Lytechinus pictus: one gene and its partner. The protein of the gene in region 2 purifies or fractionates together with the protein of the main gene of each other region. This does not show direct contact. Links are inferred from orthologs where the notes say so. Each region holds a gene or a part of one and is shown on either strand. Other genes may lie near its edges. The genes, in order: gamma-tubulin complex component 3-like and gamma-tubulin complex component 2-like.

What was found.
Region 1: the proteins of gamma-tubulin complex component 2-like (region 2) and gamma-tubulin complex component 3-like fractionate together in Drosophila melanogaster (co-fractionation; 3 studies listed by BioGRID). This does not show direct contact. The link is inferred for Lytechinus pictus from reciprocal best matches to the Drosophila melanogaster genes Grip84 and Grip91.

The regions. Positions count from the first base shown.
Region 1 is NC_087260.1:8,323,451-8,332,920, reverse strand, and holds the start of gamma-tubulin complex component 3-like, read right to left. Parts: upstream 4,040-9,470; 5' UTR 3,954-4,039; intron 3,802-3,953; exon of another isoform or gene 3,736-3,801; intron 1,079-3,735; 5' UTR 1,067-1,078; coding exon 964-1,066; intron 1-963.
Region 2 is NC_087246.1:47,395,301-47,403,969, reverse strand, and holds the start of gamma-tubulin complex component 2-like, read right to left. Parts: upstream 3,636-8,669; 5' UTR 3,557-3,635; intron 1-3,556. Other genes in the region: pre-mRNA-splicing factor SPF27-like, read right to left, coding at 7,472-7,688.

The DNA of each region.
Region 1 (9,470 bases), on a different chromosome or scaffold from region 2:
ATGTTCAGTAATACTTGATTAACCTTATGGCCAAGTTTCATGAACTAGGTCCATATACTTTCTAAGTTATGCTGTCATTTCAAAAACTTAACCTCAGGTTAAGATTTGGTGTTGACGCCGCCGCCGCCGGAAAAGCGGCGCCTATAGTCTCACTCTGCTATGCAGGTGAGACAAAAATTGCTTTTTGACTCCAGAAAGTTGTTGCCCACTTGCAGCAAAAAAAACCATGAGAAAGTCTTTTAAATAAAGTTTAATTTTCACTAAATTATCATCTAGATCTAGTACATTAATGTAAACTTAATTTTGTGATATCATGAAATCTCAGCTCAAAACAGAATTTTTTTATGATCACTGACACAAAAAAGCATATGTGGGACAGTGCATTAATATTGCGTGGAAAAATACCCATCATTTGATGGAATTCTGTGGTTATTTTTTTCATTTCTCAGCATTTATGCATTTTCTTCCAGAGCCATTTGGCACATTTTGAGGTCATTACCACAACTGGTATTTATCTAATCACCTCTTTGTGCAGTGCAGCACGGCATCAAAGTTATATCTTTAAAAGAAAAAGGTCACTGACCAACTGGCCGAGCCTTCCGATTTTGGGCTAAATCGGATTCTCAATTATTTCTATTCCCATTATTTGAAATTGAAATAAGATTTTTGTAGATTAGAACACGTTTTTTTTTTAGAATTTGATTAAAGGTAGCAAAATTTAGTCCCATTTCATTTAAACAACCTTGCCAACATGGTACTCAGCACAATAACAGTTGACAAGTTGTGTGCAAATTATTAATAAGTATAGTATGTATTTGTTTATTTTAGCAGTCCACAGGTCTCCGCTGGAAAATCATGGATGGTCACCGGTCAAACAAAAATCTGTTAATGACTCAGCCCTAGTCCCAGGTGATTCAACTTTGTACAGCCAAAAAAGCAATATTTTTCCAATATAAATTGTACCTTGTTTCTTGTTGAGTAGAGTTTGTACCATTCTCAGGAGAAGTCCAGCAGGGCTGTTGTCCCCATCAGATGCTCCGGGGTTAGACATGGTGAAGCTTGCCATTATCTACATCACCTACCGACAGATAATCAAAGAGAATCAGGAAGTCAAACATATGATGCTACACGGTAAAAGCAATGGTTTGAGTCTAGTCATCTTGTTTTGTCTTGTCTTGGATTAAATCAGGAATGTGTTATGAAGGATAGGAATCTATCCGCTAAGTTCCAGCCTGCTTTAACCCCATCTGACGAGCCGGCGACGAGTCCATTGTTTTTAAACATGTGTTTCAACAATGCCTTTTCAGCTGTTTCAACAAAACAGACATTTTCATTTGGCGACAGTTTCTCGTAGCAACAAGAGAGATTTGGATTTTAACTTGGCTGGTTCAGTTTTAATAATGCATTAGTACAGTATAACGGGTATCAGCAAACAGAAATAACCATAATTCGAGTAATATCAAAAGTTAATTATCTCAGAGCCGACAAATAAATTATATAATTACTGGTATACAAAATGTGTTCATAATCATACACCTTTTAAAATGAGTGAGCTCTAAAAGAGCGCAAATTGTCGGAAAGTGCTGCAATTTGTCCATTTTGTAAGTAGTTATAAAATTGTATATGTCTCTTTTTCACGATTCTATCATATTATGTTGACATGAAAACATCACAAGAGCTTCCCTTTTGCTGTCCATAACTAATTTGAAATTTTCAAAAAATATTGAGCCAAAACAATGCTTCTAGAGACAAAAATAGTAAATATTGATATTTCGCTTCGGCAGAAGCCAGTCGGATCCAAAGGGTTAACATCGGCACGCCACATGGAATATCAAACCCCCGGGGGGGGGGGCACTCAGTATATAATGCAGAGTGGGTATGTGCCGCGGAGGGGACCCCCATTTTTACACTGAAATTTCCGTTCCAAGGAATAGCATTTTTGTCTTATTGAGAAAAAGAACAAAGAAAGCCGCTCCAAGGCATAGCATTTCCTTCTTATCGAGAAAAAAGAAGAAAGAAATCCGCTCCAAAGCTTCGCATATTTTTCGTTACGCCGTTCCGGTCGCATTGATCTGCTACAATTTTGGTGAAAAGCGGCCGTAGAGCGCGTTTCGACCATCGCCTAAGCGCGAGCGCACCCGGCGGAGGCCGCGCTAGCTGCGTCATGCACGATTGCCCGTTCCATAGGGATGCATACGCACTTACAGAGATCCGTTCCGAGGACCCCCGTTTTCACAAACATTTGTAGTTCCGAAGCCCGTTCCGAGGACCCTCCTTTTTACAATAAGCCCGCTCCAAGGCCCCCGTTTTTTGCCTCGCCCGCAGCACACCCCTACCACTTTTTTGGTCGAGTGCCCCCCCCCCCCCCCCCCCCCGGGATCAAACCCCCGTGGAATGCTTTGTCAATGATTGGGATGCTATAGATTTTCAAATTAATGTATTGTGCTTGAGTTTCCTTAGACAGCTGGCAGCCGTCTGTTTCGAGGAGTTTTTAAACATTTTTTTATTTTTTTTATTTCTCCTCGTACACAGACGGCTCGCTAGCGTGCAGCCACCATTAGGGGACTTGCAATGCAAAATCCCCCCGTCGGGGCTCTTCAATTTTTGTCTTTGATGAATAAAATTTTTGAAAATTAACGCGACCAAAATGCAAATTAATATTCCCTCTTGGCATTAATTGCCAAAAAACAGAGAAAAATCAAGTTAAAAGGAACAAAAACAGTGACTTATACCTCGGCTGTCGCGCAAATTCACTTCCCCGTTTTATCCGCTCTTAAGTACATAAACATATGGCCAGTGAGTCCCCTGTACAGATCGCGCTAGAACTTCGGTCTCTGTATTTGGTGAGTGAAGCCAACGGAGTTCAGCTGAACGACCAACATAACAGAGACTGAAGCTTTTGGTCTAGAGTTTCCTTAGCCCTGTTTCGTTTCACACTGCATCTCTTACTTAGCACCGCAATTGTGGTGCTAGCACCACAATAAGCCGGCTAACCCTGCTATTTTGCAGGGCCAGATAGTACCGTACTATTTACCGTGCTAGCCCACTTTGCTAAAAGGAAAACGAAGTGGGCTAAGCTGCCTTAGAGTTAGACAGCTGCCAGCCGTCTGTTTCGAGGAGTTTTTTAACATTTTTTTTTTTTTTAATTCTCCTCGTACACAGACGGCTCGCTAGCGTGCAGCCACCATTAGGGGACTTGCAATGCGAAATCCCCCCGTCGGGGCTCTTCAATTTTTGTCTTTAATGAATAAAAAATTTTGAAAATTAACGCGACCAAAATGCAAATTAATATTCCCTCTTGGCATTAATTGCCCCAAAACGGAGAAAAATCAAGTTAAAAGGAACAAAAACAGTGACTTACCTCGGCTGTCGCGCAAATTCACTTCCCCGTTTTATCCGATCTTAAGTACATAAACATATGGCCATTGAGTCCCCTGTACAGATCGCGCTAGAACTTCGGTCTCTGTATTTGGTGAGTGAAGCCAACGGAGTTCAGCTGAACAACCAACATAACAGAGACTGAAGCTTTTGGTCTACCTTAGAGTCTAGACTTAGAGTTAGCTTAACCCCGGAAAATTGGTGGGGCTAAGAAGACACCCCTTAGCCCCACCAATTTCCTGGGGTTAAGGGGAAAAAGTGCAGTGTGGATAGCATATCATACTCCCGATTAATAAAATCTTATCTTATCTAACGTAAAACAAGTTTATCAGTTTATAACCCTATTTTAATTTTTACCTTCTATTGAATGTCGCCACAGACACGAAAGTGAATGCGTGGGTCATGTACAATCTCTGCGATCGGATCCTCGTCGATCTAACTTTATAATTATATTTTCTAAAGCCTGAAGAAATCATGATATTGCCTTGGTAAGGAGGTAAAAATAATGAAATCAATTCAGATCAATATGAGTGTCTGTCTAAACAAAAAAAAAGGTATAAAAAAGCTACACTTACATTACAAGTTATTTTCAGAATCAGATACAATTAACAAGTACAAACTTCTCGTTGAAATCTACGCCTCGGCGCCAGTTTTTCAGACCGCTTTTTAGCTTCGATCTCATTGAATTGTGCGCACTGCGCGTGAACACATCCATGGCAGGCATGGGGCGGCTTTCCTCGAGCCCCCCCCCCCCCTCCTCCTTCAAAATATTCAATTCAATTCAATTCAATTCATTTATTTTCTCTTTCAATCTTTTTACATTTACAATAATAGTTCAATAAACATATTTACAAAATATAACATTTAAATCATTTTTTATAATTCAATAATACCATGAAATCGAAAGGGAAGGAGACCAACTAAAAAGCAGAGCTTGTAGGGTGAAGGCCCCCTTTTATAAGTAAATTTTATGAATAAAAAATAAGATAAAATAAAGAAATAAACAATATATATATATATATATATATATATATATATATAAAATGATCTTAAAAAATAAACAAATAAAAATAAAAATAAATACATAATAATAAAAATAAATGATTCAGTATACACTGTATACAGAAATCATAAAACGATTAAACATATATACAAAGAGAAATTAATAAACACATTTACATATTAAGTTCTGAATTACATTACTTTGGGAAAAAACGATAATCTAATATGAATTCAGAAGATATATTTTAAGTTTTCCTTTGAAATTGTGTATTGAATTACATTGTATAATATCCTTTGAAAAAGAATTCCATAATTTTGGACCAGTAAAAACAAATGTCTTCTGTGCAAACGATGTTCTATTCAGAGGTAAATGAAAGGAACTCGCCTGGCGAGTGAAATGCTTATGAATTGTATTATTTTTTACAAACATATTATTAAAAGGTAACGGTAATTGTTTATTGATAAACTTGAACATTAACTGTCCGAGTTGAAAAGAATATAAATCTTCAACCTTCAAGACTTTATTTCTCAAAAACAGAATATTTGTATGTGCCCTGAATTCTGCATGACTAATAATACGAATCACTCTTTTTTGTAAAATAAAAAGTCTATTAATTTGAGAATTCGCTGCATTACCCCACGCAACAACTCCGTGATTCAAATAAGGTAAAATTAACGTTGAATACAATGATAACAAAATAAAATGGGGTAAGAAGTAACTTAATTTTCTAATGACACCGATGTTGCGAGCAATGATTTTACAAATATTATCAATATGTGCTTTCCAAGAAAGTTTTTCGTCTATGATCAGTCCCAAAAATTTAGTAGATCGCACTCTATGAATGACAATATCATTTAAAATTACATCTTTTGGTACATTCGTAATCTTGTTGCTAAATAGCATGTAGCTAGTTTTTTCTAGGTTAAGAGAGAGTTTGTTAGCTGTTATCAAATTAGACACATTTTTTAGTTCGTCATTGAATATTTGCGTCAATTGCTCTGGGTCGGGGTGCGACAGAAATATATTAGAGTCATAAGCGAAAAGTATAAATTGAAGCAATCTAGATGACATATCAATATCATTTATATAAGTAATGAACAAAAGTGGGCCAAGAATGCTGCCCTGTGGAACTCCACAAAGGACAGGTTTACGTTCAGAAATATTACAATCGAGTGAAACGAACTGTGAACGCCCGGTTAGATAATTCTTGAACCACTTTAGTGGTTCTCATCTTATTCCATAATGAGAAAGTTTATAAAGGAGAATGTTATGATCAACTGTATCGAATGCTTTTGAAAAATCTAAAAACAAACCAATCGTATTCGAAGACTTGTCATAAGCTTTGGCAACTGTTTGAACTAAAGAAAGTATTGCGTGGGAAGTGCTACTCTTTTCCCGGAAACCAAATTGAGTATCGGATAGGATGTTGTGCTTTTTTAAAAAACATATGGTTCGTATGTGAATATGAATAGATGGATAAAATAAAACAAAATAAAATGAAAAATGAGAGAAAAAGAGACGGGAAAGTGGGAGAGGAAAGACAGTTATAGCTAGAGATGACAGAAAAAAAGGACTGATTAAGATCGGAGAGAGACGGGTGAATTGGGATGCTAAAAAGCATATATTTATCCCGGATATATCTATCTACCCAAATAGGCCTAAGTTACATGGAGCTTTTAATTTTGAGCTTTTAACTCATTTTTTTTTACCACAAAGCAATGGAACTCGATCAAGAAGAAAACAAGTGTTCGGGTGATGAGACAGGGGGACAGGACTATCCCGGTCCCCGGAATTGGTCGATCCAGATAGGGTTGATGATCTATATTTTACACTTATATTGGAATTCAAGCATTATTTTACATGATTCATTTCTTGACAATTTCCTGGTGACTGAGGTATCAAGATGTTTCATATATGTTTAGACGTGACATTTTCTTCTTTTTTAAAAATCAGATACTACCGACCAAATGTTTTTTTCACTAGTTCATTCGTGAATTCAAATCTGTCAAGTTGTACAACTTGGTGAAAGGCCTATACAATAATAGGCCATTTCCCTATTTTATACGTGATGATCATGATAATTTTATTGATATACTTTCGACATCGAATAAGTCCAACATGATTATTCTTTAAACAGCTAGTGGTGTAAACAGCGCGTCTATAAAACCGGGGGGGGGGGGTGGGGGTTGATGCGGGTGGATGATTCCATATCGTAGGCCTAGTGGCGTACGCAGGGGGTGCAGGGGTTCAAACACCTCTTTAATATTTTTGATACCCAACCCCCCTCCCAAGCCCCTAAGAATTCAAACCCCCTTAAAAAAATATGAAAACCTTTTTTTTTGCTTGTCGAATTTTTGGGTGGTTGGAAACGACCTAAATTGGAAAACCTTTTTTTTTAGGTTGTTAACATTTCAATCACCTTGAACCCCCCCCCTTAAGAAATCCTGCGTACGGTCTGGTGTGGAGGTGCATGTGGGTGTGTGTGAGGGGGATTACCCCCCCCCCCCCCCATTGGTAGGCCTACATGGTTAGTGAGTGGGCAAAAGAGGAAACATATGTAGGGGCCTATTAGGTAGAAGAAAGAAATCACAGAAAAAGGGGCGGGGTGGGAGGTGCATGGGCCAGAGAAAAGACAATGAGAATCAAAGAAGGAAAACAAGTTAGGCGAGGGAAAGAAATGACAGGTATAGTTCTCAGAGAGAGAGAGAGAGAGAGATTGAGAGTGGGGGGAGTTTATGCTCATATAGAGGAAAAGAGAGTGAACGGAGAAAAGGGGAATCATATTGAGAGCAAGAGAGGGGGAGAGAAGGGGGAAGGAATTGTGAAAGGGGGTGAGAACTTAGGGAGTGGACAAAAGAAGAAACGAGAGAGCAGGGTAAAAAGGGGAATCACAGATATTGTGAAAGAGATCGAGGGGGAGCGGGGAAGAGGGGGGGTTCTAAAGACGGTTAGGGGATTGTCATTACATGAAAAGAGAGTTAAAGGGATGATCCAGGCTGGCGATATTCATATCTCAATAAATAGAGTAAAATTCACAAAGCAAAATGCTGAAAATTTCATCAAAATCGGATAACAAATAACAAAGTTATTGAATTTTACAGATTTGCATTATTCCAGTGAACCAGGTCTAGGCATGTCTTTATGAATATTCATTAGGCGGGCTGATGATGTCACATCCCCACTTGTTCTTTTGTATTTTATTATATGAAAGTAGGTTTATTCAAAAAATTTCTACCAAGAACTAAAACAATTGGATTGACAACTGATTAAATGCATTAGTTATTTATTGCCGCAACATAATAATTTCATCATAATGGAGACACATCATTTGCATATTTTGGCGGCCATATTGGATTTTGCCAATTTGCGGATAATGCTCAAGGTTACACGAGTGGCATCATCCAGATTCGTAATCAGCACCCTCGAATTGACAAGAAACCTTCAAAAAATATTGTATATATAAAAAAAACAAGGTTTGGTCAATTTTCTATGGGGCCTATCCTGGACTAGAAGGTGTCCAACAAAGTAGGGATGTCACTGTGGCGATCTCTCGAAAGCTTCTTGCTGCTCCTGGTTGAGGCCCGGTTGCTCCTGCCGGTCGTGACCCTGCTGCTTGATCTTGGAATCTTTCGTTAGTAATGATGATTTGCATATATTAATTCGTTCATACATCGCGATTTTTGCAGTCTAGTGCTCATTTTTGTGAAATTATTAGTTTTCCCTTTTCATATTTTACATAATAGCTAGTGTATACAATGGCCTATGGCGCCCATTTTGAATATCAGAAACATAAATATTTTGTCAAAAATTTTTTTTTCAGAGAGTATTTCACTCCTGCCACACAATTTCATGCATTTCACAGCCAATGTGCGGACAATTTTACGATATTCATGGGTAATTTGCATATTTTGGCGGCCATATTGGATTTTGCCAATTTGCGGAAAATGCTCAAGGTTACGCGAGTGGCATCATCCAGATTCGTAATCAGCACCCTCGAATTGACAAGAAACTATCAAAAAATATTGTATATATAAAAAAACAAGGTTTCGTCAATTTTCTATGGGGCCTATCCTGGACTAGAAGGTGTCCAACAAAGTAGGGATGTCACTGTGGCGATCTCTCGAAAGCTTCTTGCTGCTCCTGGTTGAGGCCCGGTTGCTCCTGCCGGTCGTGACCCCAGTGGCGTAACAGGCGGGGGGGGGCAGGGGGGCAAGTTGCCCCCCCCCCCCTGGCGGATTTCACCGGGAAAATAAACGAAAAGCGGGAAAAAGAAAAAAAGGAGGAAGAAAGAAAGGGAAAGGGGAAGGAAAGGGGAAAAGGAAAGAGGGGAAAGGAAAGGGACAGGGAAAAGAAAACGAAGAATTTAATGGGAAAGGAAGGAAAGCGGGAAATGTACAAAAAAGAACAATTGAGAAAGAACAAATCATTCCGAAAAAGGCCTATGTAATGCAATAGCACCGTGGGAAATAAATCAAAAGATGAAAAAATGGCAAACAATAGCGGGAAACGTAGGTAGAATGGGATTAGTCAAAAGCTAAATTGGAAAACAAAGAAAAGGGACAAGAAAAAAATAATAACATGACCGGGCTGCCGATGATTGAAATTAATGAGTGGGAAGAAAGATGGACTGCAAACAACATTGTGCTATAAGTTCGCTAAATTATATTCAAATAAGCTACCGGGGCTTTGCCCCAGACCCCAAGCAGGCTCTTTATTTATAACCTTCAAATGGCTCTATAACGCCCCCCCCCCGTTCAATCATGTTCAATCACTGGCATACAGGCGCGAGGGGGGGGTCTTGGTTCCACACCCAAGAGGAAATAAAAGAAATTATAGGAGACAACGTATAATGAAATGAATGGAAACAATGAAATGTGTTATTTGCTGAATATATAATGGAAAAATATATCACATAATTAGAATTTAATTTCAATAGGCAATTTTTTTCCAGCTCGCTTTGCACGCTAGCACTTTTTACAAAGTTTTCCCACTTTGCTATGATTTGCCCCATCAAAATATTTGGTTAATTACGCAACTGGGTTGAATCTATGTGTTGTGTAAAAGCTGTATTCTATATATACCTGCGATT
Region 2 (8,669 bases):
ATAAAAAAATAATAATAAATTCAGTTTGTAGTTGTTCACAGGTTTTGCACTGCATGCATACTTTTAAAAGGATACATGTTGAAAATGGTACATTTCTCCACATAAAAAATGTAGGAAACTAAGTATAGTCTATAACTTCATTCTCCTGAGTCAGGAGAATGAAGTTATACTTAGTTTCCTAGATATTTTGTGTCGAGAAATCTTTGAAAACTGAGACAGTCCCAAACAAACTGGGACGATCCCAATTTTCTGACCAGCGCCTGTTACTGATGGAAGTGCCCCCCCCCCCCCCGGGCATTTCCAAATGCCATTTGATGGGGAAATTTGCTCGAAGTGTGCCGGTGCGAAACTGCATTAGCGCCCAGTGAAATAATATTTCGGTCTAACAACTGAGGAACAGAGCAACCTGAGGTGCGAGGCTCAGCCCTGATCAAGCCAGGGAGGGCAGGCACAGCCTTAGACAGCTGGCAGCCGTCTGTTTTGAGGAGTTTTTTAACATTAAAACAAAAAAATTTCTCCTCGAACACAGACAGCTCGCGATCTTGCAGACGCCATTTGGGGGGTTAACAATGCAAAATCCCCCCGTCAACATCAAATCGATTTTATAATCGGTGTTCGATCGATGTCATCGAGCGCCGGTGCAGATTTTGCAAAATCGGTGCATCGAAAAAAAAAAAATAGATCAAACGTTGGCCGGCCGTTTCATATGGTTCACACAATCATCAAAATAAACATAAACAACTACATCTCAGGCGAGTTACAGTGCTCTGCACTGGTAGAGCACTGTTTTGCCGGCAAGCACGCCTGTCGTTTCACAAGAGTGAGTGAACGGGGCTGCAGACGGGCTGTAGTGTAAGCGAGTCCGGACTGCTCATGCTAGTTGACCAAAAATCATTCGGATCGACTCTGCGTGATTCATGTCTTTAATTTTCATTTTAAACTTATGTTGTCATCTGCAAATATCATTGTTTAAGATATTTTGGGAAGAATTCTGCATTAGTCCCTTTTTTTGTGTTTGTGATCATAGAAAATACAAGTGAACTTTTGCTCTGTCATCTGCTTGTGCAACGCGTACCCTTCCAGCGCATACCGTCGCAGTGCGTGCATCGACGGCCGGAGCAAAAAAAATTGACTTGATTTTCCCTGCCTCCACAATTCGATGCATCGATGTTCGATAGAATAAAAGCTGTCGAACACCGGATTTCAAAATAATCGAATTTTATGACTCAGGCTTACTTTATTTCATAAAAATATATAAAAGAGCTGGACCAAAATAAACATTATTCTGTTTTGGCCTGAAATGCACCAAAACGGGAAAAAAGAAACTTAGATCTAATTCTTAAAAGGAAAAAAAAAACAGTGACTTACTTCGGCTCCGGGGGGGGGGGGGGGGGGCACTTCCATTGACGAGTGGATACCATGCACGACCATGAGGTCTCAAAAAGCACCCTAAACACGTATTTTCCATACTCTGAAAATGCACCCCTTAACAAGTATTGGCGTGTGAAACCCTACCCTTAACAAGTATTGGAAAAAAAACGATACTATTGGCAAGTATTCCCTGAATTGAACCCCTAAACAAATACAGCGATATTTCAATTATTATGTCATGGACGTCGGTCGTCGGTTTTACCTTTACCTACATCATTGGTTTTAGTACAGCCTCACTCGCGCAAATCGTACTCCAAACACGTAGTGTTGACTCTTGGGGCAAAAAGTACATCCTTTATAAGACATTTTATTTTTAGTCTTAATTTTTTACACCATCGCAAATTTGACCCTAGCGAAAGTAGATACCCTTTTTAAAAATTATTTTAGTGTTTTTGACACCCTTATTACGTTACGTACGTAACGTGCCCTATCTTGAAAAAGACATCCTTTTAACGTGTTTTTGGGGTCGCGCATGGTATCCACTAGTCAATGTAAGTGGCCCCCCCCGGCCCGGGCTTCGGCTGTCACGCAACTCCCACTTCCCTGGTTTATCTGAGCTTATAATACATAAGTCATAAAGTACATATGGCCATACCTCACTCCTCAGGCGATGTTCGTGCAGGCTCCATTCCACTTCACTACCGCTCCACCTACCCAAACATCGGGACCGTGAACCATTTCCGATATACCGAGTCACAAAGGTGGGATGGCAATCATGATAATCGTAAAAATTAAACCAAAAAAATATAATGAAAAAGATGACTGACTTAATATCTTACTCTACACCCATATTTCACTCCGTTTCTATACTCCGGTTATCCTCAAAATTAGTGATTTTGGGCCAGTATCAAATTCCTCACACATATTATTCACGGCCGATTTCAAAAGCCGTATCGAGTGGACCTTCCTCACACTGATGTGTGTTGCTGCCCTCTACGTTCGTTGCATACAATGTTTCGAAATCGGCCGTGAATAATACGTGTGAGGAATTTGATACTGGCCCAAAATCACCAATTTTGAGGATAACCGGAGGATGGAAACGGAGTGAAATACGGGTGTAGAGTAAGATATTAAGTCAATCATCTTTTTCGTTATATATATATATATTTTTTTTACGATTATCATGATTGCCATCCCACCTTTGTGACTTGGTATATCCGAAATGGTTCACGGTCCCAATGTTCGGGTAGGTGGAGCGGAGTGTAGCGGTAGTGAAGTGGAGCCTGCACGAACATCGCCTGAGGTAATATTAATATGGCCATTGAGTCCCTGTCAGTAGAGGCGCACGGCCAATATTGGAGACTGTCTCCAATGTGGGAGATTATCTCCAATATCAGAGACTTTTGTAAAGAATTTGGGTATCCAATTTCAGAGACAGTCTCCAGTTTTGGAGACCAATTTCCTTTGTTTACATTTGCTGCAAAAGGATTACCTTGGCGGCAAATAAAAATGTGATAAGCAGATTCCTCATGAAAAATTACCCCTTTTCACCGTCTACTTTAAAAATTCACCGTCTACTTTTGTTTTGATAAGGATTTTTGTTGTTAATCACACACAAAACAAATGGGCTTCTGACCTCAGTGAGACAAAATTTTGGGTGGAAAAAAATCATGCTTTTGACTTTTTGTTGGTGTTGTTTCTTTTGTCCTTTTGCAAAGGCAAAGCAAGTCTCCAAATTAGTCCAATGTCACTTGTGGGAGATTGTCTCCCCATGTAGGCTGTACAGATCGAGTTAGAACTTCAGTTCTGTCTCTCTGTAATTGGTGATTGGGTCCAACGTAGTTCAGCGGAACAACCATAAACAGAGACCGAAGCTTTTGGTCTAGCACAGCCTCGGCCGGCAGAGCCGAGGCACGCGCCGCCCAGCTCGCGCGGGGAATAACGCCCGACCCTTGACAGACGGACAAGATTCCCAGTCTACGGTCCCATAAACCACTTTTCACGTTAGTTACTTTATGCCTACACAAATTTCGGCCGTTGTAAATCCTATATTTCAATGCATTCGATAAAATGTTTAAGATCTATGTTCTAAATTTCATTCTGAAAATTAAAAATGGTTACATGTGAAACGAAATCCTTATTAGCCCCTAATTCAAACTTAAAAAACAAAACAAATTTGACTTACGAGATGCATTCTCTGTTAATGTTCGCGGCGAAACGTCAAATTAGAAGAGTATCCTCGTTCACGTATTGTAATGTCGCCTAGCCTTTATCGTTTTTTTTTTTTTTAACGTAAAATTGTTGGCGTTGGTTCGTGATGCAATGCATGCATGGCCATCAGTCAAAATCGAATATCACCAACTCATTTTTTTCCCGCAAATTATATATACCACTTATTTATTAAAAAAAAATTTGTTTCAGTATATACTATTCATTTTTCCTCTTTTATTTAGGGGGGAGGGGGGGGGGGGTCTGGGACCCGAAATGACCATTCAAATAAAGGAGAAAATGAAAGAAAATGAAAAGGAAAAGTATTATCTTTGTATTATGTCAAAATCAATCACAATAGAATTCAAAAAGGTCAAAAACATTTGTTTACCTTTTAAATTTTCCCCTGGCCAATATACCAGCTAGCTGTCTCAGTATTTTTGGTAATCATTATATATACCACTATCTGATACAAAATCTTTCCAGGATTTGATTGGCCAAGAAGCACCAAGCATCTAACTGTTACTATAGTACCTGTTAGATAACAATTACAAACTTTATCTTCATAATCCAGGGAGGGGTATATAATCGCATCTAAGCATTTAAAGTCTTTAAAGGGGAGGTTCACCCTGATGACAAGTTGGTTTTAATAAAAGCAGAATAAAATTGAGAAAATATTGGTGAACTTTCAATGAAATTCCATCAAAGAATAATCTAATATGTGTCATCACATGCGAGGAGTTTCTCCATTTAGCAATTATGTCATAAAAATTCCATACATTCCATATTTTTTAACATGAATTCAAATATTTTTCTTGCAGATTTGGGTATGAAATGTGTGTAATAATTTATCCACCGTAAAAATCATTTCCAATTTTTTGAGAGAATGACATTTTGGGGGACTCAGATTACATAACACATGGAGGAGCTACTTGTCTGTAAGGTCAATAAATAAAAAAAACTTTGAGCAATTCATAACTCTGTTATTCTTGACAGATTTTCATCAAACCTTCACCAGTATTTTTCTCCATCTTTTTTTCACTATTCAAACCAACTTATCAATGGGTGAAATTCCCCTTTAAATGTAGCTCTAACTGTGATCACCACAAAAATGATAATCAGTGAAATGAAAATAGACAAAACAGTTGAATGCTGCAATGATTCAGTTTCATAGGAAATTTATTTACAACATAAAAATGAATCTTTTACAGCAGGACTGGATTCATTACAACTAATCCAAATGAAGCTAGTTCTCAACAAAAATGAACTAGCATGATTGACATCTATTTCCTTTCAAAATATCTCAATATGCAATCAAATAATAAACAGAACACATTGATTTATGTGAAGTCACATTGTGTCAGGAGGGTTGTGATTCCATAGGTTTGTACGAAGAAAAGATTTTCTTTCCAGCTTATATATTTTTATTTCAATTTGCAGAGGAAAATGGCACTAACAATTATTCTGTGCTCAAATGAATGGAAACATACAACTCTTCAGTCTTCACAAAGTTCTTTTTGATTTCTTTGATTGACTCTTATTGGACACAACTGCTACGTCAGGAAAAATTGTTATGTGTAATCTAATCTGAATGCAGATAGAATTGGAAAGCTGCGCAAAATAAGCGGGAAATAAATATGGTAAAATATAATCTAAAACTGTAGATTTGATCAGTCCAAGTTTGCAGCTAAAGATATCTCTATGTGATAGAAGTAAGGAAAGTAGAATGCATAATTTGAAAAGTGAAAAATCAACCGCTTATTCTGCGTACAAACCTATGGAATCACAACGCTTCTAGCACTGCATGACGTCACGGTTTCGAGGCCAGTGTAGAGCACAAGAAAGCCTATTTTCGAAGCCTGGTAGAGAGCTTAGAGCTTTTCTGAAGTAGAATACTCAGCTGGTAAGCAGTAGAGATGCATAAAGCTTGCATTGCTTAGCTTAGTATTATATGAGCTTTCAATTGTTAATATATGATTGGGGTCCAGTCTGGTTCTTTAAGATTTAAGGCTATTTAGCTCTTTATAAGCCCAGGTTATTTTTAAATTGCATTTGCAATACAATGTATATGTGCCATGAATACACCTTATTCAACAATAAGATGATATTGAAATGAGAGTACATGCATATAATATACAACAGTGTAGTACCTAAAAATGATGCTGCTGCTGCAAAAAATAGTTGCAGCAGACAATTATTTCATGAGAAAGTCATTAAAATCAAGGTCATCACAGATCTATTTTTCAGTACATTAACGTATGATCACTATTAAATACAAGGCAAAAGCGATTTTGTGTCTCGCCCACTTATGAAAACAACCAGAAATATCGTAATTTGCGAGGGCACGCAACATAATTGTATCGAAACTTCATTGTGAAATGACTGGGATGGAATAACACTTGTCATAAGAGCCTTGCACATAAACTTTAATGTTGACCTGAAAATGACCTTTGACCTTAACATGTGACCTCTGACTGCAGCATAAAATGCAGGTCCCCCATGTCCATCTATCATCCAAGTTTGGTTGAAAAGCGACTTACGGTTGTGGAGTTTTGTGTCATAAGGTTTGTGACGGACGACATTTGGATCCCTAAGTCTCGCCTTCACCTCTGGTGGGCGAGACAAAAAGCATACGTGGGACAGTGGATTAATATTTCTGGGAAAAGGACACATTATATGGAATTCTGTGCTTATTTTGTTTATTTCTCAGTAATCAAATATTTCCTTCCAGAGTCATTTGGCATAAATTTGTATTAATACAAACAAATACCGGGGTGGTTACTTTATTGGATTCTGTTCGAACTCATTTTGAGATCGTTACCACAAATGGCATTTATTTTCAACATGTCTCTTGCAAAATTTATGTTAATCGGACCTCTTCCAGCCGAGATCGAAGCAGGGGTGGTGGGGTTGGGTCCCACTGATCCCCCATCAAAAATTTTGGTTGAAAAAAGCCCATCTAAATAGGCTTAAAGATAAACGAAAATTATTGGAAAGATGGAAATAATCCTTGTGAGCAATCCAATTATTTTCATGATATTTAAGACATATGATGTGAAAATGATCAAGTGTAAAGGATTGGTCATTAAAATGACAATTGAAGTGTGTGGCCAACAATATTGGTGTAGTCCCATACATGCTTATCTGAGTGCAGTGCATGTGATCTTCACAAGATTAGAGTCAATATGTCTACCATTTTGGTGATACCATTGCCTTATAGTAAGCCCCAATTCTTAGATACATTAAGGCGACCGCACACCATACGATTGGTCTGCGACCCGAATTTAGAATAAAATGTAGTAGAATTTGATGCTAATACTGAGACTTGGAATATCTTACTGTGTAATGTCCTAAATCATTGTACGAATACCTGTGTTCAAATCTGTGACTGTGCTATCATCCTTCTTAGAATAAAAGTGAATTTAATATCTAGACGTAAGCAGTCGTACGATTGCCTACGATTTGAAACTAATTTGGCCTTTACTCTAAAATAAAGGCTTGTAATCTTTCAAAATGGTTATATTAGTATTAATTTTAACCTCAAATAAAATTATTTGCTCCATTCACTTTTTCAGAAAATGAGCAAAATGCGATTTGTTCCAAAATCGGATCGCAAACAGTCGTAAGGTGTGCGGTGGCCTTTACACACAGCATTTATCGATCACTTTGAGACAGTGTACTCCATTACTCCAATTTACAGCCAGAATTAAATTTCATCTTTACAAGTTAAATTAAACTTTTTATATATCTCCTAAATATTCAGAACATCTGTTTCCAAAGAAGGGAATAAATAGCTAAAAAGCTAAATTTACACTGCACCACTTTTGTCATTCTCCAAAAAGTCCAATGACACTGAAAATTTCAAAATATTGTAAGAATCCCTTCCACAGTATCATCTTGAAGCAGCATACTCATCATCATCGTCGTCGTCGTCATCCTCATCACTCTCCTCCATATCAACATCATCGTTTTGGCGATTAGCTTGTCCATATTGTGTGTCAGTACTGGGTTTCAAGGAATCCACCTGGTGTTTGAGGTTGTTGGTATCGTATTCCAGCTCAAGACATGCCCTCTCTATCTCGTAGTTCTTGGACACCAAACCAGCCCAGCTACACAGAAAAAAAGAGAGAAATGTTACCTGGTATTATATGCACAGGAGTACTGCTCAATGGACTTAAAGTCATAGAAAATAACAAAAAATAACAAAATATGTGGGTATACTTGTAAAATCCGACAATAGCATTTCCAGTTATGTCATTCAAAACCAGAGGTAACTGTGCCCCCACCCCCTCTCCCGAAAGGCCACAGTGACAGCTGAACAAACAAATAGTGTAGACTTTAATGATATTCAAAAAGAAAAAAAAATCTGGATTTTATCAAATACAGTAATATAATATAAGGTTTATCCTTATAAATCATATTTGCAATGGTATTAAATCAATACAATTGCAAATATTATTGCACTGTTTATCTGGTTTTCCTTCCCCTTTCCTTTCGAGGCCTTCATCAATTTCAAGCTCTAAGCTTAAGATGGAGGTCTCCCACATTCCAAAATGTATTATATTGTTATATTTATTTATTTTTGTCTGCTATTTGTTTTAATAATTTGGAAAAAAAAAATTATCAGGTATAGATATATTTCAAGTAGATTGTTAGAATGTATGTATTGTATGCATATGTTATTCTTTATGGTTTTTTGCTTATGATTATGCAGAGAAAAAAATGATTACACTTGTATAAACTTTTGTTATTGGAATGTGGAAATAAATAAATCATATCAAATCAAATATGATTTATAAGGATAAACCTTGTATTATATTATTTGACAAAATCCAGATTTTTTCTTTTTTAATATCATTAAAGTCTACTATTAAAACTCACATAAAATACAACATTTTCTGTTCATAAAATGACCTTCTGCTTTGGAGGAATGCGCTATGTTATTTTCTTCCCAGCAGAAAAGTTTAGAAAGATCTTCTTATAAAGATTGGACTATGTCAAACATATTTTATATTTAGCAAAACGGAATGGCACAGGAGTATAAGAGCAATGGATTTGCATAATTTGTTTTCCGTGCACTGGTCTTTGCA